2 linked regions of the Canis lupus familiaris genome follow. The protein of the gene in region 2 binds, or shares a complex with, the protein of the main gene of each other region. Links are inferred from orthologs where the notes say so. Each region holds a gene or a part of one and is shown on either strand. Other genes may lie near its edges.

Evidence for each region.
Region 1: the proteins of LCK (region 2) and CD4 are in contact, whole or in part, in an NMR structure (PDB 1Q68), measured with the Homo sapiens proteins. The link is inferred for Canis lupus familiaris from reciprocal best matches to the Homo sapiens genes LCK and CD4. Residues at the interface, in NP_001036236.1 of Homo sapiens: Glu15, Ile17, Val19, Cys20, Asn22, Cys23, Tyr25, Pro26, Ile27, Val28; in NP_000607.1 of Homo sapiens: Ala429, Arg431, Ile435, Leu438, Leu439, Lys443, Thr444, Cys445, Gln446, Cys447.

The regions. Positions count from the first base shown.
Region 1 is NC_049248.1:7,845,283-7,860,953, reverse strand, and holds part of CD4 (T-cell surface glycoprotein CD4 precursor), read right to left. Parts: intron 9,192-15,671; 5' UTR 9,129-9,191; coding exon 9,080-9,128; intron 8,956-9,079; coding exon 8,791-8,955; intron 1-8,790. UniProt on the Homo sapiens protein: Integral membrane glycoprotein that plays an essential role in the immune response and serves multiple functions in responses against both external and internal offenses.
Region 2 is NC_049223.1:68,332,789-68,348,459, forward strand, and holds the end of LCK (tyrosine-protein kinase Lck), read right to left. Parts: intron 15,124-15,671; exon of another isoform or gene 14,903-15,123; 5' UTR 14,898-14,902; coding exon 14,793-14,897; intron 14,528-14,792; coding exon 14,446-14,527; intron 14,251-14,445; coding exon 14,160-14,250; intron 13,592-14,159; coding exon 13,493-13,591; intron 13,365-13,492; coding exon 13,261-13,364; intron 13,087-13,260; coding exon 12,937-13,086; intron 12,637-12,936; coding exon 12,484-12,636; intron 12,336-12,483; coding exon 12,156-12,335; intron 10,010-12,155; coding exon 9,933-10,009; intron 9,841-9,932; coding exon 9,687-9,840; intron 9,606-9,686; coding exon 9,474-9,605; intron 6,720-9,473; coding exon 6,517-6,719; 3' UTR 6,082-6,516; downstream 1-6,081. Other genes in the region: HDAC1 (histone deacetylase 1), read right to left, coding at 1,591-1,756. UniProt on the Homo sapiens protein: Non-receptor tyrosine-protein kinase that plays an essential role in the selection and maturation of developing T-cells in the thymus and in the function of mature T-cells. Plays a key role in T-cell antigen receptor (TCR)-linked signal transduction pathways.

The sequences.
Region 1 (15,671 bases), on a different chromosome or scaffold from region 2:
TTGCATCTACAAGTAAAACATGTTTTGTGCCACATTAAAAAAAATTACTATGAGAAAGCATATGTTTCTAGAAATTATAAAATGTATTTATACATCTGCCAAACCACAGAATGCTAATGTAAAAAATAGTTCATAATTGCTTACTTCATAGTTTCTGCTAGAAATTAAAGGTTTCTATGGGCTGAAAAAGTCTAATATATATATTTTAAACTACTTGAAATAATAAGGGAAACATCTCCATTTACAAGGAAAGTAGGATGTAAGTTTTTGGTAAAAGAAGGTATGGTAGGGATGCCTTGATAACTCGTCAGTTAAGCATCCGAGTCTTGATTTCAGCTCAGGTCTTTTTTTTTTTTTTTTTTTTTTTAAGATTTTATTTATTTATTCATGAGAGAGACAGAGAGAGGCAGAGACACAGACAGAGGAGAAGCAGGCTCCATGCAGGGAGCCTGATGTGGGACTCGATCCTGGGACTCCAGGATCACACCCTAGGCCAAAGGCAGGCGCCAAACCGCTGAGCCACCCAGGGATCCCCTCAGCTCAGGTCTTGATCTCAGGATCATTGAGTTCAGGCCCTGTGATTGATTGATTGATTTAAGATTTTATTTATTTATTTGAGAGAGAGAAGGAGAGAGAGAGAGAAAGCATGAGTTGGGGGGAGTGGCAGAGGAAGCTGCAGACACCCCATTGAACAGGGAGCCAGACATAGGGCTCGATCCCAGAACCCTGGGATCATGACCTGAGCTGAAGGCAGATGGTTTCACCAACTAAGCCACTGAGGATCTAAAAAAAAAAAAAAAAAAAAAAGTATGGTAAAAGAAAAATGAAAATGCTATTTTGTTGAGGGAAGAGAAAATAACTGTCCTAAAGTAAGACTCCAATTGTCATTTTAAAATGTGTTTCAGAGTGCCTAGGTGGCTTAGTTGGTTGAGTATCTGACTTTTGATTTTGGCTCAGGTCATGATCTCAGGGTCATGAGGATGGAACCCCACATCCAGCTCTGTACTGAGCATGGAGCCTGCTTGGGGTTCTTGCCCTCTCCCTCTGCCCCTGCTTGTGCACGCTCTCTCTCTCTCTCAAAAAATAAAATAAAATAAAAATTGTGTCACAGAAATAACCAAACTTCCTTGTCAATTCCATTATAATGAACTTTCATCATGTCTTTAACACTGAGCCTTTTTTAGGAGGCTTTTGTCATTTATTTATTTTTATTTTTATTTTTTTAAAGATTTTATTTATTTATTCATGAGAGACACAGAGAGAGAGAGAGAGAGAGAGAGAGAGAGAGAGGCAGAGACACAGGCAGAGGGAGAAGCAGGCTCCATGCAGGGAGCCCGATGTGGGACTTGATCCCGGGACTCCAGGGGAAGGCAGGTGCTAAACCCTGAGCCACCCAGGGATACCCGTCTTTTGTCATTTATAGATGGTTCATGTTTTACACAGATGCTTTTGCATAAATTCTTACAATACTTCTTCACCAAGAAGATTCATTGAAAGGACTCTGGCAAACACACGGTTCTGATAACTTTAAGATAAAAAAGTGAACTAGGTAAGAATTTCCAGAATTAATGGGGAAAAAACCTGGATTTAAGCAAGAATTAATAACATGGGACTTAATGAGCTGAGGAGGATGATTATAATTTTTATGATTTCTTGCTTGAAACATCGCTCGTTCTTTAATGTTTTATCTTTCCAGACTGAGGAAATTTTTCCTCTTAAGCCATTTATGACTTGTAATGTTAGTAAAATATGACGCCTCTGTGATCAAAAATGAAACATTTACTTTTTCTCCCTATCTGATCCCTCCAAAATTTGAAAACTCTTGAGTATTCTTTTTATGACAAAATAGTTATTTACACAAGTTCAATGAGAATATGTTATCCTTGTAATAGGGCACAAATGGGAACATTGGTTAGATGACAAGGCTTTTTTAAAGATTTTATTTATTTATTCACGAGAGACACACAGAGAGAGGCAGAGACACAGGCAGAGGGAGAAGCAGGCTCCCCCCAGGGAGCCCGAACTGGGACTCCAGGATCAGGCCCTGGACTGAAGGCGGCGCTAAACCGCTGAGCCACCTGGGCTGCCCTATTACCAAGACTTTGACTAGAATGTTTTATTTAAGAGAGATGGGCATAGACCCAGATATGACTAGACAGCTTTGAAGATATAAGGTTAAAAAAAAGAAAGAAGGAAGGAAAGAAAGAAAGAGAAAGAAGAAAGAAAGAAAGAAAGAAAGAAAGAAAGAAAGGAAGGAAGGAAGGAAGGAAGGAAGGAAGGAAGGAAGGAAGGAAGGAAGGAAGGAAGAAAGAAAAAGAAAGAAAGAAAGAAAGAAAGAAAGAAGAAAGAAAGAAAGAAAGAAAGAAAGAAAGAAAGAAAGAAAGAAAGAAAGAAAGAAAGAAAGGTCGACTTCATGGAGCCAATAAAGCCCCTTGGAAAAATTGGCCTGGTACCTTATTCATAAGGTTTCAGCAAAGCAGTCTTTTTTTTTTTCTTTAAAGATTTTATTTATTTATTCATGAGAGACAGAGAGAGAGAGAGAGAGAGGCAGAGACACAGGCAGAGCAGAAGCAGGCTCCCTACAGGGAGCCCAATGTGGGACTTCCCAGGATCAAGCCCTGAGCCAAAGGCAGACGCTCAACCACTGAGCCACCCAGGCATCCCTCCAGCAAAGTAGTAAAAAAAAAAAAAAGTTTATATGGTCAATTACTATTCTTGCTGCACTTATGTAAATAACCAGACCAAGTTTAATGCAAGCAAATTTGTTTTATTGTGATTATCTTTGATAAAAATGGGGATAATTGTAGAGACAAACATTATGTTTGCATCTTTGTCCATGTTAGATTCTAACCCTGTTAGCAGTCTTTGAGTTGTTCTTATATACCTGTATACCAGACTGGGTCCTGAATTCTCCTACTTTCCTCAAATATCTGGCTACAACTCCAAATGAACATTTCTGATTTTCTTTCCTCCTTTTGATCTGGAATCACTAAGAATAAAAACTGCCTTTGAATCTCCTTGGATGGAACTAAACCAGGTCCTCCTTGCTACCTGAATGGCAGCCAAACTCCAGGGACGTGAGCCTTGGGTACATGCCTTACAGCTGAAGAAGTCTCCACCTGCCATCTGGCCCTGTGCACCTCAAAACCTTTAAGCTGGAGACCTCAGAATCAAATTGTCTAAGAAGGGGATCCCTGGGTGGCGCAGCGGTTTGGCGCCTGCCTTTGGCCCAGGGCGCGATCCTGGAGACCTGGGATCGAATCCCACATCAGGCTCCCGGTGCATGGAGCCTGCTTCTCCCTCTGCCTGTGTCTCTGCCTCTCTCTCTCTCTGTGACTATCATAAATAAATAAAAATTTAAAAAAAAAAGATTTAAAAAAAAAAAAAAACAAATTGTCTAAGAAGAGATGTAGCTGACAGTAGATAAATTGCTTCCACCAAAGAAGCTGGATCAAGGCTTCATACTTAAACTGAACATGAAGCTCTTTCTTTTCTCTTTCTTTCCTTCACTCTGGTATTGGCTTGGAAAGATAACACCCTCATCTGTATCTCCCAGGTCGTTACTAAGGGTGGGGTGCAGGGGGTGGGGGTGGGGGTGAAGGTTAACCCTTCAGACTGCTAGATTTGTCACCAAGAAATTTGATCTGTCCATGATGCTAGAGACTTCCCCCTGGTCCATTTCCCTGCCTCTGGTTTACAATCCCAAACCTAGGAAAGGGACACAAGACAAGGGTAATCAGAATAAAACCACCTGTATGGTCTACAGACCCTTACATTTTACTGGTCTCCCTGACTGTCACCTTTCCAGTCCTGAACCACAGACTCAAGCAGGAATTACCAGGAGGCATTCATGATTCAAAATTACCTTGGTAGCTCAGGGCTCCCCTGGCTACTATTAAATGCAAATGAGGCTACAATCAAGAACTTATCCTTAACTCTAGAAAGTATTGCAGATGGGGGCAGCCCAGGTGGCTCAGCAGTTTAGTGCCGCCTTCGGCGCAGGGCGTGGTCCTGGAGACGTGGGAGGGATGAGTCCCGAGTCCACGTGGGGCTCCCTGCATGGAATCTGCTTCTCCCCTCTGCCTGCGTCTCTGCCTCTCTCTCTCTCTCATGAATAAATTTTTTTAAAATCTTAAAAAAAAAAAAAAAAAAGTATTGCAGAACCCACTGCTAAAATAAAAAGTGCCTGGCAAAAATCCTTAGATTCTGGCCAAAGTTATTCCTGATGATAAGACAGACTTTAAATCTCTTTTAGCTGAGCAAGGAGGTGTCTGTGTTGTGGCCAACACCACCTGCTGGGCCTGGATTAACACCTCTGGGGAAGTTGAAACTCCATTACATAAGGCCACTGAACAAGCCTCTTGGTTTGAAAAGTGACTCTTTTAGTGGTGCCTTTCTTTTTAACTTACTTGATTTTTATTGTTTTGGGTTTTAGGGATCATGATTCCAAAGTGCACTCCAAACATTGGGAATTACCCTGCTTATAATGATCACAGTAGTCTATCTGGTGCACTGTATCTTCTCAAAGGCTTTATTTATTTATTTATTTATTTATTTATTTATTTATTTATTTATTTATTTAATTTATTTGAGAGAGAGAGAGAGGGCACAAGCAGGGGGAGGGGCAGAGGAAGAGGGAGAAGCAGACTCCCAGCTAAGAGGTGTGCCCAACCCGACCTGGGGTTCAATCCCAGGACCCCAGGATCATGACCTGAGCTGAAGGCAGATGCCTTCACAGGTGACACTGAGCCACAGGTGGCCCCCTCTCAAAGGCTTTAAATGCATGTTTGCACTTGCTAACCACCAAGCAAATGATCTCCCTAAACCTGGAACATCAGAAAAGGAACAAAAAGACAACCAACTTAAAATTTGTAAGCCTGAAGTTATAACCTGTGAATGTCACAAAGATTGGGGGCGGGGGCGGGGGGTGAGAGGAGTCACAACCTGTGAGTACCAAAGAATCAACAGAAACTTCAAGAATGTTAGAGTAGTAGCTGGGAGTGGCACTAATGCCACTCTATTTTGCTGAAAGATGTAATCAAAAGAGGGGAACTGTTAAAAGAAAGAGCCAACAGGACCAAAATGGAATCAGTTATGCTAACCCCCACATCAGCAAACCAAGACTTAATATCTAACCTAATTGCAGTTTCAGCTTTTCCCAGGAACATAACCTTTAATGAGTTAATCTCGAATTACCTGGTCAGCACTAGTGAGGAAATCTGCCTGACAGACCCCTTCCGTCCCCTTAAGCAGGTGACCTTGCCTGAAACAATGCATTCTTTGCTAATAAACTTCCTTTTCTGCCTTTACAAATCTTTCCTCTCCCCAGCTCTTCGGAGCTCTTTTCTATTTGCTAGACCGGATGCTGCCCAATTTATGAATCACTGAATAAAGCCTATTAGGCCTTCAAATTTACTCAGCTGAACTTTGTTTTTAACCCACTGGGTATCATTTTTATGGTTTTAAATGTTTACCGTGTACCGGTATAATTTTTTTTCAAATCATTTTAACTTTAAAATGAATAAGCTAAAAGTCTACTTATTTAGCAAGCAATTTAGCAGAATGAAATTCTAAGACAAGAAAATCACTTGCAGAGTTTGTGAGAGTGTTTTGAGCTCTATCCAGGGGTGAAAATTACATAATGGGTACCAGGGGCCCACAGGCCAGGGGAGGACCCAGGTTACTTTGATCATAGGGTCCTCTTTATTTTATTTATTTTTAAGATTTTATTTATTTATTCATGAGAGACACATGGAGAGAGGCAGAGACATAGATAGAGGGAGAAGCAGGCTCCCTGTGGGGAACGGGGATGCGAGACTCTATCCCAGGACCCCAGGATCACAACCCAAACCACAGGCAGACAGATGCTCAACCACTAAGCCACCCAGAGGCCCCCATAGGGTCTTCTTTAAATAGCTGTTTGAAGGACAAGACACGGGCAGGCAAAGAGCAGTTAACCTGGTGATTTCTGCTTTGTGTGTCTTTACCAGAAAGAGACCAGGGATTGGGGGTTTTGTAAATTTTAGGGAATGGCTTTGGTTCAGCCCACGGGACACCTGGGTGGCTCAGTGGTTGAGCATCTCCCTTTGGCTCAGGGTATGATTCTGGAGTCCCGGGATCAAGTCCTACATCAGGCTTCCTGCATGGAGCCTGCTTCTCCATCTGTCTATGTCTCTACCTCTCTCTGTGTGTGTCTCTCATGAATAAATAAATAAAATATATTTTAATTAAAAAAAAAAAAGATCCAGCCCAATATTCCCCTTTTTCTTCATGTCCAAACATGAAGAATGGACATGGGTGGGTGTCTGAATTGTAACTCTGGAGGCCCAGCAAGAACCACCTTGCCAAAAACAGAGGACTTTTCTCCCACTGGACAGAGGCAGGAAGAGGAGACATCCATTTTTAACAAAGATAATTTTCTTTTCTTTTCATTCCTTTTCTTTTCTTTTCTTTTTCTTTTTCTTTTTATTTTTTCTTTTCTTTTTTTTTTTTTTTTTTTAACAAAGATGGTTTTCAATACACTGTGGCCAGTTCAGGTTTTTCTGCCCTGAGGATGACTTTCCATGGGAGAGCCTAGGCCTGAAAGTTGAAAGACCAAAGCTCTAGCCCCAGCTCTGCCTCCAATCTAGCACAAACTGAGGCCAGGGACTTCTCCCTGGTAAAATCAAAGTCTTGTACTAGAGCCATATTTCCCAGACTTCAACCGTTCACACATCTTATACATGATTTTGGCCAAATTTACCTATCTTATTAATCTAACATCTTTAAATGCATTCACTTTTTTAGATTAAATAAATCTATCTTAAAAGGAAAGTTGAGGTGGCTCAGTTGGTTAAACATCCTACTCGTTTTTTTTTTAATAAAGATTTTATTTATTTTTTCATTAGAGACACACAGAGAGAGGAAGAGACACGGGCAGAAGAGGAAGCAGACTCCCTGTGGGGAGCCAGATGCCAGACTAGATCCCAGGATCATGGGTTCACGACCTGAGCCAAATACAGACATTCAACCACTGAACCACCCAGGCATCCCAAGGATCCTACTCTTGACTTCACCTCAATTCATGATCTTGGAGTTATGAGATCAAGCCCCACATTGAGCTTTCACACTGAGTGTGGAGCCTACTTAAGATTCTCTCTCTCTCCCTTTCCCTCTGCCCCTCCCATCCCTGTCTCATGCTCTCTCTCTAAAAAATAAAAACAAATAAATAAAAAGAAAGTTTACATCACTATAATAAACAGAAAGTCCATATCATCTGACATAAACAAAAGGCAATTATAAAAAACTAAGAGGGCAGCCCAGGTGGCTCAGCAGTTTAGCGCCACCTTCAGCCCAGGGTGTGATCCTGGAGTACCAGAATTGAGTCCCACATCAGGCTCCCTGCATGGAGCCTTCTCCTCTGCCTGTGTCTCTGTCTCTGTCTCTGTCTCTCTCTCTCTCTCTCTCTCCCCCCTCTCTGTGTCTCTTGTGAATAAATAAATAAAATCTTTAGAAAAAAACTAAGAAACTAAAAATAGTGTTTTATAATTACCACTTAAATTTAACACTTGAACCCAGCAATTAATCTTAATAGCACAAAAAGAATGATAGACATCACATAGCTCCTGATGTGATGAAATTGGTAGTACAAACCACCACTTATGAGGTATTCCTATCAAAAATATTAAATGAAAACTAAATCAAGTCTCTAGTTTAACCACCAATCCATAGGAGGTTCAAAGGACAGAGGAACATGCTAAATAATACCATGGAAATGCAGCCAGCTCCTACTCAAATGTACAAAACTTCACAGGACAATTGCCTGGTTTCTTCAACCAATCAGTGGTAAGGGGAAAAAAGTCTGGGGAGTAAATATAGACATTCAAAGGGACTTAAGGGACATATCAACCAAATACCATGCATAAATTTTTATGCGGATCCTGTTCAAATAAACAAAATGTAAAAATAATATTAGAGGTAGTTGGGAAAATTTGAACACTGGCTGGATATTAATCATCATTAAGGGATTATATTTCATTTTTAATGGATGATAATGATACTGTGGATATGTTTCTTTTTTTTTTTTAAGATTTTATTTATTTATTCATAAGAGACACACAGACAGGCAGAGACACAGGCAGAGGGGGAAGCAGGCTCCTTGTGGGGAGCCTGACGCAAAACTGGTCCCAAGATCCGGAATCATGACCTGAGCCAAAGGCAGATGCTCAACCACGGAGCCACCCAGATGCCCCAAGTTCAATTTCTTTAGTAGAAAGAGCTATTCAAAAATTTTCTGTTTCTTCTTGTGTCAGTTGGTAAATTGTAAATTGTGATTTTCAAGGAATTTTTCCATTTTATATAAATTGTTAAATTTATTAGCTTGCAGATATAATATTTGCATATTATCCTTTTAATGTCTTTATAGTAATATAAAGAAGATATTTTATAGAAATATCTTCATTCTTGATACTCATATTTTGTCTTCTCTCTGTTTCTTGGTAAGTAAAAATGTATCAACATGGGTCTGTCGCAATAATATTCATGAAATCACAGGTTTTATGATAGTTATTTTTCTAATATCTATTAAACTAAGGCCATGAATATTAAAATTCTGAAATTATAATAGACACCAAATGCCATTTCCCAGGCCACCTGCAGTTAGCACAGGGAAACTCTGGACTAGGAGAATGCACCTGAGTTTGTCAACCAGAGCCCTCTGGGATCTCAGAGTTTACCAAGAGCAGAGCTCTGACACCAGGGATGCTCAGTCCATGGTGGTTTCCTCCCTGCATGGGAGCTGGGCCGCCCTACCTACAGTCCAGAAGGAGCCCTGATTTCCCAGAATCTGGACCATGGAAGAATCTCTCCAGTTGAAGTGTATGTTCTTCTTCTGGGAAGTTTGGCAGGGCAGCTCCACTGCATCTCCTGCCTTCCCCAACACCACTTCTCTTACAGGAGTGACCGCTGGGAGCATCACTAGGTAGAAAAGAAGGAAATCAGGCCTCAAGGCTGTTGCTGCTCTGCCTCCACCCCATCTCCCCACCCTGGCATTTACCAGGCAGCCCCTCCTCCCATTGGATCTCCAAATCTGCGCACTCACCCAATTGCAGCATCAGGAGCAGGTGCCTAAAAGCCGCTTCTTGATTCATTGTGGATTCCCTGAGACAGGCAGGGACCTGGGCCTTCCCCCCACACCGCACAAAGTGCAGGGCCTAAGGGAGATACTGATCATTAGTTAGTAGGCATTTACTGAGCCTGGGGTGCAAAGGGACATATGGGGATGGTATGCAATCTCACCCATACAGCCAAGCCAGGGACCTAAATGTGCATACTTCTAAGCAGACATCCACCAGGACACACCACACAATGCTGTGCCCAGGCCATCTAAGTGGAATCAGAAAAGGATTCACAGGGATGCCTGGGTGGCTCAGGGGTTGAGTGTCTGCCTTCGGCTTAGGTGGTGATCCCGGGGTCTGGGATTCAGTCCTGCATCAGGAAGCCTGCTTCTCCCTCTGCCTATGTCTCTGCTTGTGTCATGAATAAATAAAGTAAATTAAATTAAATTTAAAAAATGATTCACAGAGAAGGTGGCAAATTGGTGGAGACTGAGAAGGGGCAGGGGGATGGGGCGTGGCCAGGTCATGAAGGTCCTTGAATGCCATGCTATGATACCGAGCTGTGACCCTAGGCACTACGGAGCCACTCAAGGACTTTATGTCGAGAAGTACATGATTTGATTTGCAGAATGGACCCCTTCAGCTGTTGTGTGAAAGACAAGCTAGAAGAGGCCGAGCGCGCAGGAGGTATGATTGAAATGATCCTGGTGAGAGAAGATAGGCCTGAGCTCAGACAACTCAGAATGATGGAAGTGTAGAAAAACAGACTGCCTTGAGGGCAGGTTTGAGGCAGATTCCCAGGACTTGGGGAGGGCCACACTGTGTGGGGTGAGGAAGAGACGGAGCAGTGGGTAAACTCCCTGCTTGCTCTCAGACGAACCCTGTAAAGCCTCTGAGGGAGAGCAGAAAAACGCTATTTCAGAGTTGGTTTCTGTGAGTTCCGGAGGTGGTTGAGGCTGGGGGGGTGGAGAGAATTTAGAAAAGCTCTGAATGGACCTAGCACAATGGGAGGTTAGAGCAGTGATCCTCCAAGTGTGGTCCTGGATCAGCAGCAGCCTAGGTGTCACCTGTCAACTTGTTGGAAGTGCAAATTCTCAGGCCCTACCCCAGATCTGCTGAATCAGAATCTGGGGGTGGGTCAAGCCTGCTGTGTATTCACAACCCCACCCCCCACCCTGGTGGCTGTCACCAGCTCCAGTTTGCAAACCATGAGTTACAGGGAAAGGAAAGGGGAGGAGCACCCCACCGCTCTGCTGCCCCGCGTCAGAAAGAGTGGCAGGTGGCAGGGCTGTGCCCCGGCTGGGAGTCTGGAGAAGACTCAGGGAGGGAGCTGGTGGGATCTGGGAAGACATCTCAGGCCTGACTGAGAACCTGGACAGGTTGGCCAGAAGGTCAGGGCTTTGTTCTTCAGGCAACTAGGAGAAACTGCTTTTTTTTTTTTTTTTTTTTAAGATTTTATTTATTTAGTCATGAGAGACACGGAAAGAGAGGCAGAGATATCAGTAGAGGATATCTGCTATCCCCATTGAACAGGGAGCCCGATGCAGGACTCGATCCCAGGACCCCGGGATCACGAACTGAGCCAAAGGCAGACACTCAACCACTGAGCCACCCAGGTGCCCCAAAACAGCTGCTTTTTGAGCAGAAATGTGACATGGTCTGTGTAAAGTTTTAGGAAGGGGACCAGATGACACGGAAGAAGTGGAGACTTGAGGAAGGCCACCAGATAATGTCTGGAAGGCAGGCAGGAACAGGGCTCGGATCTCTGAGCTCCAGGCCTCCAGGCCCAGACTGTAAGGAGGCCTCAGAGGGGTGGTTGCCTGGATGGGGGTGGGGAGCAGCATGAACGCCTCTAGAGCTTGGCAAGATGAGGTCCTGCATCCAACCTCGTTTTTCTATCCCCTAGCCTAGTCTTTGTTGTCTGAGCTCTGCAGCTACCTGCCCACTCCTACAGCACCCTGTTGATGCCCTGAGGGCACAACCCACCTTCTGTCTCATGATGTGGTGATTTGGGTTCCCTCCCATCTTCACCCCGGCCCTGAAGCCTGATCTCATTCAGAATGAAGATGATGGTCCAGCCAGTTCTGCCACCAGTGTAGGCCTGGCACCAGCTGGAGCATAGAGAGGGGATTTGGAATGTTTGGTTAAGTTAAACGAAATTGAATTGAATGAAGGAGGAAAAATCACTGATTTCTTTCTGTACTCAACATATTAATTTTGTTACTAGGGATCCCTGGGTGGCGCAGCGGTTTGGCGCCTGCCTTTGGCCCAGGGCGCGATCCTGGAGATCCGGGATCGAATCCCACATCAGGCTCCTGGTGCATGGAGCCTGCTTCTCCCTCTGCCTGTGTCTCTGCCTCTCTCTCTCTCTCTGTGACTATCATAAATAAATAGAAGAAAAAAAAATAATAATAATTCTGTTACTAAAGTGGGTCATTGAGGGACACCTGGGTGGCTAAGTGGTTGAGTGTCTGCCTTCTGTTCAGGGCGTGATCCCAGGGTCCTGGGATAGAGTCCTGCATCAGGCTCCCTACAGGGAGCCTACTTCTCCCTCTGCCTGTCTCTCATGAATAAATAAATAAAATTGTTTAAAAAATAATAAAGTGGGTCATTGAAGTATGTGTACACAGCCAACCCTGGCCTGAATGAAGCCAAGTCATCCCCATCCATGCTGCTTGTTCTTGTGCCCTCTCATCACCACCACCTCTCCCCCACCGCCCCATCCCTGGGCCATTCTCCTACCTCTCTGCCCTGCTCTCTATAAGGAGATTGATTTGGACAGACTTTACCACCCAGGCTCCCTTGCCCTCCTGCTACTAGTTGGGGTTGGCCAGTGGGAAGAACCCACAAGAGGTGGGAGGGGCAGGGAAAGAAGTGGGAGCATTTTTCCTAACTCTCTTCCTAGTCTGGCATGCTTTCTGGCAATAGCTATACTCCTTCCCTCACCCCTTCTTCTCTCCACACCCTGACTGTAGCTCCTTTCAGGTGGCTCAGCTCAAACCCTCACTGGGTTCCGGAAACATCATTCCACCCTTGCCCCTTCAGGACCCTGCCTGCTATTGGTAACATCTGTGTGCCTCCATGAACTGTCTGGTTCCCTCTTCACACCCCTGGGAATAACCTCGTTTCTGCAGTCTCTTGAACCATCCGAGGCAGATTCTGTTTCCTGTTGGGTATTGATCCATGATAGGGCTGTCGTACTCAGATGGGTGCTGGGGACATGCACCTCCTAATGAGATTTGCCGGAAGATTTAAAACAAGACAAAAAAGCCAACTCCACTCACTCCATCTGCCTGAAGGAAGAATGTCCCAGGGCCTAACTCAAGGCAGAGGCTTGACGGAATTTTTTGTTGTTGTTTATTTATTTTTTGAGTAATCTCTACACCCAACATGGGGCTTGAACTCATGACCCTGAGATCACCAGTTGCATGATCTTCCGACTGAGTCAGTCAGGTGCCCCTGATAGAATTGTTTTCTAAACAAGGGAAATAAGAAGTGAAGAAATCATGAGGACTCCGGAAGAGGAGGAAAGAGGCTAGTCATGGGTGCAGTTGTTTACCAGTTAGCATGGGGCGTGGGGAGGGGAGAGACTACGGTACAGCCACCCTTCCATCTGAGAGTGGCTTCCGCTGTCCCCCTATCACAACTCACTGTGTTCTTAGTGAGCAGAGAGTAAAGGAGTCTCCATTTGGAATATCCCTTCCCTGGTGTCCAAATTCTGCATGAATGCCTGGAGAAGGCTAGGAACATTCTTGACCCTTCCCCAAATGGTGGTCATTTCCTTCTTCTTCACGCCATGATCCTGTGGTCTGTGCCAGAGGGCTACTTCCCCACCTCCAGCTCCTTGTACTGCTCCAACTTACCCAGGGTTCAGCTAGGTGGAGGAGGCTATGGGTTTCCATCTGCTGCTTGCTTTGATGACTTGGGCTTCCGCTGCCGCCCCAGAGAGCAGGCTTTTGATTCCCACATCCTCATCCTCCCCAGAGGCACTGTGCCCCAGTACAATAGCATCCTGTACACCATAGCCCCTTGAGAGGGGCTGGGAGGGCTTGCTGGTCCCCCAGGTCCTGGCATCACTCTCTCTCTCTCTCTCTTTCTCTCTCTCTTCTTATTTCTCTGCTCACATCTGGGCATTTCTGTATCCTGTCTTCAACTCCCCACATCTGTAGCTCTCTTCCTCTTGGTCCCACATGCCAGGACCCAATTCTGGCTCTGTCAATCTTGCCTAGAGTGCCCCTGGCCTCTCCCTCTTTTTCATCTCCACCTCCAGCTGCCACTAAGCTCTAGCCCCTTCTTGCCAGTAAATAGGCATCCAGGCTTCTGGCAGGAATGCCAGCTTTCAACAAGCTTTGATGTGAAGGGAGCCTGCAGAGCACAGCCTGGAGCCGAAGGTGGGTGCAAGGGAGATGTCCGCAGGGTGGACCAAGGGAAAAGGACATATTCCAAGAAACACACAGAGGCCCCAAAGGAGGATGAGGAAGGATGGGCCGGAGAGACCCAGAGCAGCTCATTAAAGCCACAGCTACACTTCACACGAGCCCTGACCCCACGCCAAGCCCAGGATAGTACAAACCGGATAGTCAGAGAGAAAGAGGTGAAGACATTCTGAGAGGCAAGACACAGCCCCAGAGCAAGAGACCACAAGAGAGCTCAAAAGAGAATGAGAGAACTATGAGAGCAAAATGGCAACACACTGGCAAACTCTCAGAGCTTTTGAAATTCCTGTTGCCCTGGCCCTGGCCTCCCAGGTGGGATGAGGAGCGAGACTGGGGAGAGGAAGAGGGCACAGCCCCACCACAGAAACAGTCTGTGGTCCCATAGACACTTTCATCTTCTCCCCAGAGCCCCCAGGCAGCCCCTCAAGCCTCGCCACGGGATGTGCCCCCCCACCACCACATACACCCTCTCTACTGCTCATTGGCTTCATTTAAACTTCCTAGAGACCATGACCCTCTAAGGGACCCTTGTGGTTCAGTGGCTACAACCTCCGCCATCCTCTCCTTTGCCTCAGACGCCCACGTGGGTGGGGGAGCCATGCCCTCCTTCCTTCCCCTAGGTCCCCCAAAAGGTGTGGAACAGAGCTCAACCGAAGAGCCCTCCAAACTCAGGCCCCCATCTGTCCCCTTCCATTGCCCACCCTCCTCAAATTTATTTTATTTAACATTTACTGAGTGTCCAAAATGTGCAAGGCCCTTGGTCTGCTGAACTCCCCATGTCACCATTATGGCCAGGATCAAGGCCTAAGATGCTACAAGTCTTCTGCCTAGAACCAGTTGATGAGGGGGAATTCTTATTTCAAGGTAGAACTCTTTTGTATACGTGTCCCCTAACTGAAAGACCAAAATCTTATTGGGTGTTCTCTCTGACCCTGACCTCTGGGAAGTCCTCCATCTGAGGTTAAGATGGCGGCCATTTTGTGTGAGCCCACAGACTCTAACACAGCCCAAGAAATTATTTGTCAAAATATGAAACGGAGTCACCTCCCTCATCAGGTTCTACTCTTAGCCTTATGCCCCTAAAATTTTGTCCAACAACGGGACTTTCAGGAAGAGCTATTCCACCCAAAGGGAAATGTTTGAATTAGCAATAATGGGGCCTTTCTATTTTGAAGAATCCACCGGTACCAAAAAGGTCCTTCTCCCAGAATATGTCTAGAAGGGAAGGCAGAGGACACCTGTGGGGTAGCACAGCAAAGCCACGGAGGTCTTAGGAAAGGGGAAAGGACAAAAAGCCTGGAGGTGGGAAGTTAGAGTTGTACAGGGTGTCCCATCTTGAGGGGTACCACCTCCTGGATCCCCTACATCCCACCAAGCCCAAGACGGGCCTGCAAATCCTTTTCTAAACCACCTAGCCTCCTTTTCTAGAACAGCTGAGACATCTAAAACTAATGCCTTAGAACCCCTTTTTCTAATGACATATTTACCTAAAGAATATGTATCTATCACTTGTATAGTATTGCATACCTAAGAGCTCAGTTTCAACCCTTTTTGAGAATTGCGTTAATCATTTTAAAGCTCATTAAAACAGGAGGGCCCTTAGACATATTATTCAAAAATCACAAAAAATGCCCAAGAGTAAAAAAAAAAAAAATGTAGAAATACGTGTTAACAGAAAAGATAGTTAAAGGAGGCTACCTCAACCATAGGGCTTTTGAAATACTGCAAACAAGTATGATTTCTGGTATAAATTTCTGGCAATTGCATCACTGGGAAAATTGATTTGAGGAGAATTGCTTCTAGACTAGATTTCACTTCTTTCTCATTTTATTGCTTTTCCTTTGTTTCCCTTTTTCATTTTTTTATAGGCATCCTTTCTCCTTAATGTGTATTTATTCTTTCTATTCATTTCCTACCCTTTCTTCCGTCTTTTCTCCTTCTTTCCCCTCTTCCTATCTTCATATCGTCCACTGCCCCTTGACTAGTTGCCTCCCATGGCCTTTCTCAGCCCAAGATGGCCTAAAGTCTCTGTGCCTTCTCTGATCTTGTAATCCAGCTCAACACCTCTCTGAGGAGCACCGTCTGCTCCAAGCACTAAAGGGATATGCACAGGGGGATGCAGAGAGAAATTTTCCATAAT
Region 2 (15,671 bases):
CCCTCAGTAAGTATTTTTAAGAGTAGAAATACAAAACCCAAAGTTATCAACTGATATAGCCTTCTCCAAACACATTAAACTGCCCAACCCAGGAGTTTGGGATCCTTACCTTTTTCCTTACCCCTACATTCATAAACTTAATTTCTTTCTCAGAGTGATAGCTCTAAGGTATAAATCTGATGATGTCACTAACCTTGCACAAAACTTCAATGATTCACAAGTGCACTCAGAATAAAGTCCAACTTCCGTAAGCCAGTGTGTCCAGCCCTTCAGGATCTAGTCTCTGATTACTTCTCCAGCCTCATGACTTTCATCTTTTCCCTCCACCCTATTCCCTGACCTTCTACACTCTGCCCTCAAACCTATACTGTACACACACCTGCCGTCTTTCAAAAATGCTGTCCTCTCTCTTCTAAATTTACGGTCCTCTTTGCCTTCCCTGGGTTCGGCTACTAACTCCTGTTCTTCAGGTCCTAACTGAGATGGCATCTCCTGCCCCAAGTGGGCAGTCTCAGTTGGGTGCCTCTCCTCCGTGCTCCCCAAACACTCTGAGCTCTCCTTTATCCCAGCATGATCCTGGAAGGCAATTCTGTGTCACTGTCCATCTATCTTCCCATCCAGGCTGAGAGGAAGATGAGAAGTGACCTGATCAGCCCCACGGCCTCAGCGCCTAAATGTCCCTAGTACAGAGTAAGCCATTCCACAGGCTTCTGTTACATGAAAAAGTCTGTCTTAACAGGTTGTATCTTTCTCCTTCCAAGCCCAGGGGCCCCATTTCCAGCAGCAAAGTGTAGGCCCAGCTGAGAGACGGAGGGGGAGGGGGGAGGCTGGTGACAGGAGGTGGGGACTCTTGCAGGACTCTCACCAAAAAGGATGAGGAAGCAAAAGGGTAGAGGAAGACTTCTGTGTTCTCGGCAGGAAAACACATCCTTGCACCCTTCTCCACCAGATCCTGCCTCGCCCTCAGACTCAGCCTCCTCTCCTGGGGTCCCACTCAAACTCTCTCCATCAGGCTTCCTGAGAACCACCCCTCTCCGGCCAAGTTACCGCAGGCTTCCTCAGAAGACCCCCGCTCGGCCTCAGCCTCTTCCCTCAGCCTCGACTTCCTTTCCTTTCCTCTGAGCCTCCTCCCTCAGCCTCCACCTCCTGCTCTCAGCCTCCTCCCCCTGCCTCCTCCCTCCCCCTGCCCTCTTTCCTGAGCCTCCTCCCTCAGCCTCGACCTCTTTCCTCTCAGCCTCTTCCCTCTGAGCCTCCTCTCTCAGCCTCGTCCTCCTCGCAGCCTCCTCTTTTCAGCCTTTCCCCAACGCCTCAGCCTCTCCCAGCCTCCCCACTCGCATCTCCTCAGCCTCCCTCTCCCGGCCCCGGCCCGGCCCCGGCCCGGCCCCGCCCCCGCCGCGCGCACGGTGCTCACCGTCGTAGTAGTAACAGACTTTCCTCCTGGTGCCCTGAGTCTGCGCCATCTTGCTCGCCTCCCGTCCCTCCCGTCAGTCGGTCCGTCCGGCCTCCCGCCCGCGGCTCCGCTCGGCGTCCGACCCAGGGGGGGAGGGGGCGGGCCTCCCGCCCGCTCCGCCCGTCCCCTCCCGGGCTCACCTATAGCCGCGCAGCCCGGGCACGGCTCCAGCCAATCAGCTCGCGCAGGGACGGCCCGGAACTCGGCAGGGGGCAAGGGCAGCCCTGAGAGGCAGCCGAGGGCCCCCTGGGCCTGTACCAAGGTCTGCGACAGGGGGGTGGGGGAGCTGCCCGGGGACCGTACCATTAGTCCCGGGGGAAGAAAACGGATCCGTACACTTCGCTGTCCGGTTTCGGTGTTGGAAGTGCGCTGGGAGACCAGAAGCCAGCTTTGTCGTTTTATGGAGAATCAACTGAAGCCTGCGGGGAGGAAAGTGACTTGCACAAGGTCACTCAGCTAAGGACCGGGCTGAACCTGGCTTGGAGCCTGAGTTTGGAAGAAGGAGAAATCAACTTGACAAAGGAAAGAAAGCTGCTGTGGACCAAGTGCTGTGCAACCCCTTTACCGACGTTTATCTCAACGATTGCTCACAAAAGCTTTGGAAGAGGCTTTTTATTCCCGTTTTATGGATAAGGATAATGAACTTCAGACCTTTGTGACTTGCTCAGAGCCACACAATTAGGAATTAAATTCACCTTTCACTAGTACAGATTTTCTGAATTCCTGCTGTGCACCGGAGACACTGTAGGGAAGGGGCCGAACCCAGCCTTTCTTACCTCCAAAGCGGGGCCTCCCTGATGCTGTCACCCGCGAGCACTGAAGAGTGCCTTTACATAGGAGGACACTGATTGTCCCCTTCTACTAGGGCAGGGTTTCTGAACCTATTGAAGCTATTGACATTTGGAACTGGATAATTCCTTACTGTAAGGGGCTCTCTTGTGCATTGTGTAGGATGTTTAGCAGCATCTTTGGCCTTTACTCATTAGATGCCAATAGCACCCTCCACTCCCACCCTCAGCTGTGGTCACCAAAATTGTTTCCAGACATTGCATAACTGTTTCCATGGCAAGACAGGAGTGTAAAATTGCCCCCACCCTAACTTTGAGGACCACTGAACTTATTTATCAATCATCAACTGTTCATTATTGAAATCTGAAAAACTGAAAAGCACTGTGATGGGCTATTAAAATAATAAAATACAACAGTATTAATATTTAGTGAGTACTTACTATTTGTGTGCCAAGTAAGTTACAAACTCATGGTCCTATAGTTGATAAGATACATTTTTATGCCTCTACAATTTATTTATTTATTAATTAGGCTCCACACCCTGAGTGGAACCCATCTGGAGGCTTGAACTCATGATCCTGAGATGAAGACCTGAACTGAGATCAAGTGTTGGATGTTTAACCAACTGAGTCACCCAGGTAACCCTATGCCTGTACAATTTAAAGAGTGCTTGGGCACTTAGACACTTGTGTTCCTCATTTGAGAACTGCATTTGGGCCACTCATTATAAAAGTAATAGAAGAGGGGCGCCTGGGTGGCTCAGTGGTTGAGCATCTGCCTTTGGCTCAGGTCGTGATCCCCAGGTCCTGGAATCAAGTCCTGCATCCGGCTCTGTGCAGGGAGCCTGCTTTTCCCTCTGCCTATGTCTCTGCCTCTCTCTGCATGTCTCTCATGGATAAATAAATAAAATCTTAAAAAAATAAAAGTAACAGAAAATTTAAGATTTATAGAAACAGCTAAAGGAAGAGAGAGGGAGAGAGAGAGAGAGAGAAAGAAAGAAAACAGCTAAAGAGCCAGGGAATCCCTTTTTCCAGCTCTGTGTTGCTGCTTCCTGGCTAGAACCTTTCTGGCCCTCACTTCCCTCTTTGTAAAATGCAGAGGATAAGAATTCAAAGTTCACTAACTCTATGCTGCACACAGTATCCAAAAGAAGAGGAGGGTGGGGATCAGATGAGGTCATGGGTGTGGCAGCATTTTATAAAATGCAGAACAGGAATCAGAACCTCAGATCTTTATAGAGGTGAGGCAGGTGGTATAAAAATAAGTGGATTTATATTAGTTTGATTCAGGTGCTTTGCATATTTCTAAAATTGGATTCTTTTCACTTTCATAAAGCAAAATGCCTTTCCCCCATCTTTCCTCAAACACACTGCCATCTGCAGGTACCTTTCATTTTCTCACTTTTTATTGGAAATAGAGGTGAAAAACATTTCATTTTCCTCTTCATTATGAGAACAACAGTGCAAGCATGATGATAACCACTGACACTCAGTTTCAACTGTTTGGCAAAGGGACTCTAGCAAAAGAAGACCCTGGCAAAGGAAGAGCTTAAGCCCTACGTGAAGGTGGTGGCCACTAATCAGCTCCATGAGGACAGGTAAGCCCAATGAAGCCAAATCTTCAAGACTTTTTTTCCAAGAGAAGACAGAAACCTGTAGTTTTATCCAAAATCTCCCCAGTTTTTTTTTTTAAATCTCCCCAGTTTTATAAATTGACTGCTAACTCACTCTGTTCACATTCAAGACAGTAATAAGAGGTATTCTTTTAAAATGTAAGTCAAGGGGGCAGCCCCCATGGCGCAGCGGTTTAGCGCCGCCTGCAGCCTGGGGTGTGATCCTGGAGACCTGGAATCCAGTCCCCCGTCGGGAGCCTGCTTCTCCCTCTGCTTGTGTCTCTGCCTCTCTGTCTCTCTCTCTCCGTCTCTCATGAGTAAATAAGTAAATAAAATAAAATGTAAGTCAGGTCATAGGGTGCCTGGATGGCTCAGTCCGTTAAGCTTCTGACTCGATTTCGGATCAGGTCATGATCTCAGGGTTGTGAGATAGAGCCCTGTGTCGGCGTCTGCGTTGGGCTGCGTTGGGCGGGGAGCCTTAAGATTCTCTCTCCCTCCCCCTCCACCCCTGCCCCACTCCTGTGCCAGCACATGCTCTCTTCTTCTTTCAAAAAAAAAAAAAAAAAAAAAAAGGCTTAAGAAAAGTAAGTCGGGTCTTGTCATGGCTCTGCAAAAATCTCCACAAAGTCTTCTTGAAATGGTTTCTGCAAAGGCCACAAGGCACCACAGGATCTCTACCCCTCAGGCCCCCCGTCAAGACCTATGTCTCTGTGCTTGCCAAAGGAGCTCTGCCTCAGGCGGTTCCCTCAGCCTGGCCTCTCCTCCCCCATACCACGTGGCTTGCTCCTTCATCTCCTTCAAATATTTGCTTAAGTCACCTTCTCAATAAGACCTTCCCAGACCACCCTGCTTAAAATTGCAAACCTCCCCCAAATACGACATTCCTAATTCCCCTTACCCTGCTTTATTTTCCCCTTAGCACTCAGCACCTTGTTGTGTACTGTATCATTTACTTCTTTGTAACATTTATTGTCTGTATTCCCTAACTACATTTATTGTCTGTCCTACTGTATGTAAGCTCCATAAGGACAGAGATTTTTTTTTAATCTATTATATATTTTATGAACCCAGAACCATCCCTAACACATGGTAGATGTTCAATAAATATTTGCCAAGGCATGCCTGGGTGGCACAGTTGGTTAAGCGTCTGACTTTTGGTTTTGGCCCAGTTTGTGACCTCAGGGAGGTCCTGGCATGAAGCCTCATGTCAGGCTCTGCACTCAGCATGGAGTCTGCTTGAGATGACCTCTCCTTCTCCCTTCCCCTGCACTTGCCCTCTCTCTCTCTCAAATAAATAAATATATCACAAATAAGTATTTGCCAAAGAATGGATTAATTCAATGTTTAAAAACATCTTGTGGGGGGGCGGTCAGTTGGTTAAGCATCTGCCTATGGCTCAGGTCATGATCTCAGAGTCTTGGGAATGAGACCAGCATCAGGCTCCCTGCTGAGTGGGGAGTCTGTTTCTCCCTCTCCCTCTGTCCCTCCCTCTGCTTGTTCTCTCTCTCCTCCTGCTCTCAAAACAAAACAAAACAAAACAAAACCAACTACACATCTTAGGGGCACCTGGCTCTCTCAGTCAGTAGAGTATGTGACTCTTGATCTCAGGATTGTGGGTTTGAGCCCCACACTGGGAGTAGAAATTACTTTAAAATATTTAAAAACATCTTGAAGCTGAATCAAAACATACCTGAGTACAAATATAGCCCCAGAATCAGTAGCTGTAAAAAATGCTATTGCCCTTACATAATGAGAAGGGAGGATCCTGGGACACACCAATTCCTTAGGAGGTTCTGAAAAGGTCACCCTTAAGCCTTTGGGGTAGGGGTATGAAGGAGTTCAAAGAACCCATTCAGGGGATCCCTGGGTGGCGCAGCGGTTTGGCGCCTGCCTTTGGCCCAGGGCGCGATCCTGGAGACCCAGGATCGAATCCCACGTCGGGCTCCCGGTGCATGGAGCCTGTTTCTCTCTCTGCCTGTGTCTCTGCCTCTCTCTCTCTCTGTGTGACTATCATAAGTAAAAAAAAAAAAAAAAAGACAAAGAACCCATTCAGCAAACTGTAGGAGTTTCCTTTTGGAACCCCAAATCAACAGAACTGGAAAAAGCTCAGACATCCCCCCTCATCCCATCTTTCACCCCAATTCAGAGTGACTTATTTTCCGTCTTCTGAACCCCTACTCCCCCCTCCCAAGGAAGAGGAGATGGGAGTGGAGAACTGAGAGATATACAGTCCTCATCAAAAGAGTCATTTATTGAGCTCCTAATGTGTGCCAGGCACCAAGGAGGAGCACACAGAGGTATCAAATAAGGCCCCAGCCTCAAGGAACTTCTTGATGGAAAGGGAAAAGGGGGCAGACAGAAGCTGGTGTCAATCACAGGTGTCTCTCTTCTCTCTGGTGGTCTTAGGAAGTAGAAGGGCCCATAAGGGGACAACTTGAACAGGTGTCCAAGACATATATACACATGCCACACATCTATAGGACACATGCAGAGCCCATACAACTATAGAACCCCTGTATAAGACACAAGAAGTGTACGTGCCACCGTGGGTGGAATTCACACACAGAGTCCAGATGTGCATAGGCTACATGGGTATGACACAAGAACTGATTCTCCCCCAGCCAGGTTTGCTAGATGGAGGGAAGAGTCCAGGCCCCTAAGTCTCTCAGGGCTGGGGCTGGTACTGGCCCTCTGTGGCTGTGAAGAAGTCCTCCAGCACACTACGCAGGTAGTCAAAGGTTGGCCGATCCTCTGGGCGCTCCTTCCAACACAGCATCATGAGTTGGTATAGCTCCTCTGGACAGTTGTCAGGTCGCACCATGCGGTAGCCTCGTTCCAGGTTCTGAATCACCTCAGGATTGGTCATCCCTAGAGGTTGATGGGTTCAGAAACAGTATCAAGGGTCCAGGCTTTGGAAACCCACAGCAGAGGTGATGCTCAGAATATTTAACTGGTACCATGTGAGCACCAATCCAAAAGGATCTTGGTCTTCATCAGTAGTAAGACCATATACTAGGGCACCTGGGTGGCTTAGTGGTTAAGCTCAGGTCGTGATCCTGGAGTCCTAGGATTGAGTCCCACATTGGGCTCCTCGCAGGGAGCCTGCTTCTCCCTCTGCCTATGTCTCTGCCTCTCTCTGTGTCTTTCATGAATAAATAAATAAAATGTTAAAAAAAAAAGTAAGACCATATACTTCAGGTACCTGCCAAATGTCAGTCATGCCACTGGAGTGTCTGCTATGGCTCAAGCACTCAATAACACCTATATGTTCACTGTGAGACCTTGGGTAAGCCATGTCTCCTCTTTGAGCCTCAGTTTTCTCATCTGGAAAATGGATTAAACAGTATCTCCAACCTTATACAGCTGTTATGAAAATTGAATGAGACACTACATATATGGCACCAAGTATAGTGCCTGGAGAGGAGATGCTTCATGAAAAATATCTGTGATTATTATGATTTGGTGGGAAAGATGAGGTGGTCAGGGCTCAGGGCAGTATGGGAGCCACAGACAGCACAGTGGTGAAGCTTCTTGGGTTTGGGGACCAGGCACATGAGATGCTGCATCAAGAAGCCAGATGGGTCCTGGACCTCAGCAGAGCAGACCCTGCATAAGGTAGATTCACCAGGCACCTTCATGACCCAGATTAAATAATTTCAGGATATCCCTTAAAATCAGGATATTAGAGGACACAGACAAGGGAACTAAATGCCCATGGCTAGAGCCAAGGGTGCAAAGTCATAGTCTGCACCCAAACTAAATATAGCCCATAGACATACTTTGGTTTGACCCCTATAGTGTTATCTATCTATCATCTATCTATTTATTCTAAGTAGGCTCCATACCCAGCATGGAGCCCAATGCAGGGCTTGAACTCAAGACCCAAGATCAAGACCTGAGCTGAGATCAAGAGTTGGACACTTAATCAACTGAGCCACCCAAATGCCCCCCTCTTCAATGTTTTTAAATAATTTGAATCAATCATCAATATTTGGATATAGGCAAATTTTCCTAAAATTCCAAGTTTTGGCTTCTCTTAAAAAAGAAAATATCTATTTTGGGGGTTCCTATCTATATCTTAGTAGCAACCATCGTTTTTTTTTTTTTTTTTTTTAAGTAGCAACCATCTTCTGAATAGAGGCAAGTTCACCCAGGTCCCCATTATTCCCCATTGTCTCTCTGACCCTGAAGCCATGTGTCAGTTGCCAATTATCATCATGCTTTCAATGCTTTCTTTTTTAAAAATTATTATTAATTTTAAGTGGGCTCCATGCCCAATGTGGGGCTTGAACTATGACCAATGGATCACAAGTTGCATATAATACTGACTAAACCAGCTAGGTGCTCCATGCTTTTTTTTTTTTTTTTCCTAACAGAGAGATTCTTTATGGGTTTACCTCTATGGGCACAGTGGAGGAGCAGTAATGACCCTTGGCAGGCTGACTAAAGTTCTAGTCCTCGTGCTGCCCTTGGACTCTGGTGGGGCCAATCCCAGGCAGAGAAGGCCTTAAGGCTCTCACCTGGTTCTAAAGTAACTTTACCTAGCTTTGCCCAGTGGCAGTATCATAGCCAATGAGGTTTATCCGAGGTGTGATTATTGCTAAGGTGCCGTTACCTTCCTAGGAGCAAAGTTCTATATATACTGCTCTGGTGATGTGAGAAGCTTCAACAAATCTGCTCCATGACCTCTCTACTCTGTCTTTGTGTCCTATTTCCTTTCCCTAGAGTGTCCTAGAAGTTCCTTTCAAAAAATTCCATCCATCTGGGCTGAATTCAGGGGTAAAGGACTCTGTCCAGAGACTGGAGGAAGGGATGGGAGAGGGTAGGAATTAGTTTATATGTCTCTCACATTCTTTAGATGGTGAGTTTCAGAGGGAAGGCAAGTCAGTGTTTAGTGAGTACCCACTAGAAGTCAAGATCTTTCACAGTCTTGTTTGTTCATATCAGGAAACTGGGGCTCAGAGAGGTAAAGTCACTTGCCCAAAGTGATGATTAATAATAAAACCTAGTGGCACCTGGGTGGCTCAGTCTGTGAAGTGTCTGACTCTTGATTTTGGCACAGGCCATGATCTCAGGGTCGCGAGATTGAGCCCCATGCTCAGAGGGGAGTCTGCTTGAGATTCTCTCTCCTTCTCCCTCTCCCCTCCAACCCTGCTCTCTTTCTTTCTCTGAAATAAATAAATCTTTTAAAAATAATAATAATAAAACCTAACACTCTTGAGTGCTTTGTATGGACCAGGTACTGTTCTAATCTCATAATTTACAGATGGGGAAAGAAAGAGTGATCTGATCAAACCCAAACAGAAAGTTAGCATCAGTGGCAGATCTGGTAATAAAGGCAGGCCTTTTGCCTCCCTAGCCAGATCCTCTTCTACCATCCTAGGCTGCCCATGTCAAAAGTAAAGAGCTGGGATTATTGAAGGAGGAAGGAATTTGAGACAGAGATGGAAGCCAGCCCTGGGAAATGTAGCACCTGACTGGGCATGCTGGAGTCCTGCGTGAATACAGGAAAAGCAGCTAGAAAGATTCAGAATCTGAATCAGGGACAGATGAAGTGAGTGGACAGACACAGATTTGCTGCTCTTCCCCATCACTCTTTCAGTTCCTGCCCTTGGCCCTGACCTGGGTAAGGGATGCGGCCATGGGTGACAATCTCTGTCAGCAGGATCCCAAAAGACCACACGTCCGACTTGATGGTGAATGTCCCGTAGTTAATGGCTTCTGGTGCTGTCCACTTAATGGGAAACTTGGCTCCTGCAGGGAGGCAATGAGGTCACCTGGGTCTGCTTGGCCAGACCCTACAGCCCCCAGACTTCCCTTATATCCCACACCTACCCTCCCTTGCTGTGTACTCGTTGTCCTCGATGAGGCGTGCCAGGCCAAAGTCTGCGATCTTGCAGCTCAGGGTGTCAGACACCAGGATATTGGCAGCCCTCAGGTCACGGTGGATATAATTCCGCTCTTCAATGAATGCCATGCCCTCTGCAATCTGCAGGCCAGGTAAGAGGTCAGCAGTCCTGGGCCAGACATCCTCACCCCAGTGGGCTATGTGCATGCCCAGCCCCTCCCCAATCTGCTTACTTGGGCTGCCATGTCCAAGAGTTTGTTGATAGTCAGCTTGATGCCTGGGGGGGTCTTGAGGAAATCCACCAGGCTCCCTGCAAGTGAAAGCAAAAGTTGCTGACTCAAGCTGCTCTTGGCAGAAAGCTCTCAGACCCTCCTCCCCTAACTGGCTATCTAGAAGCTCTCTGACAAGTGGAAGAAAGAATAATAAGGGGTGAGAATGGAGAAGGGTGCATTTAGGGTGAGGATGCCCAGGATATATAAAGTCTTTTCCTGGGGACTAGGATGGAGCATGCTTGGAGAAGTCTGTAAGCTTCTTGTCACCAATACGGTAGAGCCCAAACTCCTTAGCCAGGTGTCCAAAGCCCTGCATAGGCCATATTGTAGTTTCTTCTCATTCCCCCACTCCTGCCTCTTAACCCACCCTAGACAATTTTGAGATTTTTTTTTCCACATAGACCACTGGGCTCTCACCCCAAGTTTCTTTGTCCCATCTCTGCCTGCTAAAAATTCTACTTTTCTTTCTTTCATGGCCCAGCTAGATTATTCCTCTATGAAGCTTCTCTAGATGTTACCAGGTCTAATAAACTGCATCATAATCTACATTCCCCATGGCATGCTGGAATTTTTTCCTGTACAAAGACTCTGGTTTTCCTGGGGTTTGTGCCACATAACTAAAATGAACTTTTCCTGAAATCTGGAACCTTGTTTTGTCCATTCATACTAAAAGTGCCCAGCCCAAAGTAAGCAGTGATAAATGTGTGCTGAGTGTATTGAATGGAGTATGGAAAGAGGTGCCTGGGGACCTGGGAGGCCATATCTGGTAGCAGAGGATGACTAGGAGAGAAGACCAGGAATGGGAGTTGCTAGAATGGAGCTAGTGACTGCTAGCCCTTCTCAAGAGGTTAGAACCCTGTGTAGGGACGCCTGGGTGGCTCAGAGGTTTAGTGCCTGCCTGCCTTTGGCCCAGGGTGTGATCCTGGAGTCCCAGGATCAAGTTGCACATCGGGCTCCTTGCATGGAGCCTGCTTCTGTCTCTGCCTCTCTCTCTGTGTCTCTCATGAATAAATAAATAAAATCTTAAAAAAAAAAAAAAACCTATGTAAAGGCATTAGCCTAAGTATCCCCACTACAAGTGCTGAATTAGTTGCCAAAGATAAAATGGTCCCCCAGACACAGGCAATATGTGGGCATGTACTGCCATTCCTGCACTGGGGCCATGGCAGATGCTTCTGATCAATCCCAGCACTCATTTCCAATGAGCCTCAGCATCCTCAACACAGAACTCCAAGCAGCTACCAACTGAAGTTGGCCCACATGGTAAAACCTTTTGCTACTACCAGAATCCATTAGCCAATTAAGAGCTTTTTTCCCTTTCTGAAAGAGGGACAGATCTTATACCCCCCAAAAAATCAGAACCAGATGACAAGAACAAACTTACTGAGCAGTTAATATATTGAAGACATTATTTTAACTGCTCTATAGACACTGACTCTTTCATCCTCACGAAGGCCCTATGAGAAAGTTACTACAGTAGTATTATCACCATTTCACAGATGAAGAAACCATAGCAGAGAGCAGTGAAGTGATTGGCCCAAGGCCACACAATTGTGAAGGCAAGATTCTAACACAGGCAGTCAGATTCTAGAGTCCTTAATGATTATTCTGAATTCTTTCTAGAACGGTGAGACTGTTCTAGATTTCTGATGTTATACTTGGGGAAAACGAGCACCAGTAATGGGACAGACTTGGCCTGTGTCACACAGCAAATCAGTGACAAAGCAAGGCCTAGAAACTTCTATCCATCTTCTTAGGGACTCTCAATCTGCCCAAGGGAGGGCAAGGAGCCCACCTAGAACTGAAAAAGAGAGATTTGAGGCAGATCTGACCTCCCAAGAGTCAGGGTCAAAAGGAATAAAGAAACGTGGCAAGAGATCCACATTTGAAATCAAGCATCCCAAGATCAAGGTAGGGCTTTGAAAAAGGCAAACAAGACTCCAGGTCAGGGAAGATGAGAAGTGAAAGCTATTCCAGAGCCTGCCACCTTACGCTGGGCTCCCAGACAGGCTCCGACACCACACTCTCTTCCCATCCCTGGTGTGGTGGTGAGTCTTTAGGGGCCCGGGAAAACTAGAACTCTTGGTGCTAAACCAGGCGAAAAGGTAGATCTCCTCCATCTTCTACCAGGGGCAGAGGGGATGACAACGCCCCCCAGCGGTCGATCACAGTGGCGGCACCCACCGTTCTCCATGTATTCCGTGATGATGTAGATGGGCTCCTGGGTGACCACCGCATAGAGCCGGACCAGCCTCTGGTGCTGCAGCTGCTTCATGAGATTAGCCTCGGCCAGGAAGGCGTCAGGGGACATGCTGCCCTGCTTCAGGCTCTTCACTGCCACCTTTGTGTGCCCGTTGTAGTACCCTGAGGAGGGGAGGGATTGGGGAATCACTCGGAGCCCTAGCACCCAGAGCCAGGTGGCTGCCAGAACCAGGACGTTGTCAGGCCCTCACGACCTCAGCGGACGCGTCCCCATCCCCTCTTCCCCGCAGCCCCGGAGGGCCTCACTCACCCATCCACACCTCCCCGAACTGGCCGGCCCCTAGCCGCTCCACCAGCTTCAGCGTCTCCCTGGGAACCTCCCACTCATCCTCCCACCAAGGCTTCTGGGGCTTCTGGGTCTGGCAGGGGCGACTCAACCGCGTGCACAGCCCGTCCGAAGAATCTGTGAGCACAAGCGAGGGGGTTAGGGCCGTCAATACGGTGGACTCGGGTGTCCCCATCAGTCCCCACTGGGCCAAGTCCCCGTCCCCAGGGGAAATGGACTGGTAGGGGGTGTGTGGGCCTGTCACCCGACACCCGGGCTATCGGGTACCGCAGCTCACCCACTGCGAGTAACGAGTAACGAGGAAGCATACGGAGATGGGTGGAGGGTACCCTGAGAGGGGCTTAGGGAAGGCAGGCTGGTAGGGCACGGGTGAAAGAGCCTCAGGGGCACGTGTGAGGGGCTCCCGCTGGGGCTCACTGGTGTAATGGCGGACCAGCTCGTGCAGGCCAGGGAAGGTGATGCGAGGGGAGATGTAGAAGCCGCCTTTGTCCAGGTTACGGATCTTGTAATGTTTCACCACCTCTCCCTGGTTCTGGTCGAAGTCCCGCACAGACAATGAAAACGATCCTGGACGAAAGAATGGGTGAACGAATGCAAGAGCGGGGGAAGGCAGCCTCCTGCGAGGGGCGACCCTGGCCCGCGTCCCTTCCCTGGGACCGCCTGGCCCCCACCCCCGCCCCGAGGCCCCGCCCCGAGGCCCCGCCCCGAGGCCCCGCCCCGAGGCCCCGCCCCGCCGCTCACCCGCGGTGCTCTCGCTCTCCCGAATCAGGAAGGAGCCGTGGGTGTTCCCGGGCGCCAGGAGCTGCCGTTCCGCGTCCTTGCGGCTCAGGTTCTTGAAGAACCAGCTGCACAAGGCAGAAGCGAAGGCCGTCGTCTGTTTGGCCTGTTCCTCCTCCATCGCCCTCAAGCATCCACCGCCAGCCTAGCACCCCGCCTCTGCTCCCACCCTTCGCCACGAGGAGTGCCCACTTACGGTTCGGGCTCCAGGCTGTTCGCTTTGGCCACGAAATTGAAAGGGATGAAGCCTTCCTGGCCCGTGGTCAAGGACTGCGCCTTCCACCACTCACCGTTCCTGTGCGACAGAGGCAGTCAGTGGGGTCGGCTTGGCCTTGGATTCGGCTGGAAACCTTCAGAGCCCCCAGTTACGCCATGCCACCCCACCCTCCAGCTCAGCACTCTGGAGCCTCCCATTTTGTCCCAAAGGCGCCCTCTGCAAGCCCGTCAGGGACCGCGGTACCGGGGATCCCGGCTCCCTCCCAGAGATCGCGGTACCGGGGATCCCAGCCCCCCCCCAGGGACCGCGGTACCGGGGATCCCGGCTCCCCCTTCCCCAGGGACCGCGGTACCGGGGACCCCGGCTCCCCCTTCCCCAGGGACCGCGGTACCGGGGATCCCAGCTCCACCCCCCCAGGGACCGCGGTACCGGGGATCCCGGCTCCCCCTTCCCCAGGGACCGCGGTACCGGGGACCCCGGCTCCCCCTTCCCCAGGGACCGCGGTACCGGGGATCCCAGCTCCACCCCCCCAGGGACCGCGGTCCTGGGAATCACTGCTCCGTCCCAGGGACCGCGGTCCTGGGGAATCACTGCTCGGTCCCTTGCTCCCGTCGGGCAAGGATGGTGGTGCGGAGGGGGAACTCACCGCTCCAGGATACGGAGCTGTTCACCCTTCTCGAAACCCAAGTCTCCATCGTGAGAGGGCTCATAGCTGTGCAGAGCGATAACCAGGTTGTCTGGAAAGACAGGAGATGTCAGGGAGAACTAGCTTGGACTGTGCTGGCAGTACAGAGTTTAGGAGTTCCAGGGCAGCAGAGACGGGGGGCAAGAGAGGCAAGACAGGAATAGAGAGTGGATACGGAGATGGAGGTGGACAGCCAAGGATCTATCCCTGGCCCTTAACTTTCAGGCCCTTCTGGTTGTGAGGTCACCTTGCAGTGGTGAGGCTGGGGGATTGGAGCCTTCATAGATAACCAGTGGATCCCGCACGTCAGAGCCATTCCGCATGGGCAGCTGTGGGGTGAGGTTCAAAAGTGGGGTCAGAGAACAAGAGACCTGAGTCAGATCCTAGCTCCCCTTCCCACTTCTCCAGCTTGCCTGGATCTTATCCCTGCATTTGCCAACTACTTTGGAGAGTCCCTTCTCCTATCTGGTCCTCCTTTCCTTTCTGTTTTCTATGGTCAGAGGGCCACTCTTTTTTCAGTGATGATCCATTTCTTTCTCCTGGCTGGTATACTCCACCCATCTCCCTCACCAAGTCCCCCATCTTGCCTCTTACCGTGGCCTTGCCATCCAGTGGGACTATGGGGTAATGGCAGTTTTCACATACATCGATGTTTTCCATCCAGTCATCTTCAGGGTTTGAGCTGCAGCTACAGCCCATGGTCCCTGGGTGAATGGAGAGGGGGCTGAAGGGGCTCCCCCAAGATCTACGTCCCCAACATCAGACATCCTAAGACCTGCCCTGGGAATTTCCAGAAGTACCTGAGATTGTCAGGCCTCCCAACCCCCATTCACCAGCCACAGAAAAGCTGAAATGGGTCTGGTGGTGCAGGGCCAGGCCAGGTCAGTGGGAGCTCCCTACTGTTGCTCCCTCTGAACCCCCAGGCCACAAGTAGAGTCACACATGGGCCCCCACTGAACCCTAGGCCCCGCCCTCCCACCTGGGATGGGCAAACCGCCGCAGATACCTTTGTTAGCCTAGTTGCCCACTTCCTGCCTCTCCCCCACCCCTGTCTCTCCTCCCATCCCCCATGTTAGAGGACTACCTACTAGAGATCATACACACTTTCCCAGGCTCTGGGGGAGCCCTAAATTTGGTACTCCCCTACCAGAGAAGTGTGTGTGCCCTACCTTCTAATTACAACTCCCCTCTCTGGCCAAGGAAGCAGAGTAAGAGGTTCCTGCTCTGTAATGTCAGAGGTCAGGCCCCAGCCTCCCCCAGAACAAGTCTCTTTCAGAGAGTTCTCATTCTCACCAGCTGAAAACCCTTCAGTGATGCTATTGGCCATAACTTTTTTATTTGTTTGCTTAAGCAGTGGAAACTTTCTGTCAGCTGAAAATCAAGCAGAACCTCACAGATAAAGCAGGTAAAAATGAGGCTGTTCTGCCTGAAACAGAGTGGAGATGTCATTGTGAAGCCCCTCAGACTCCTGAG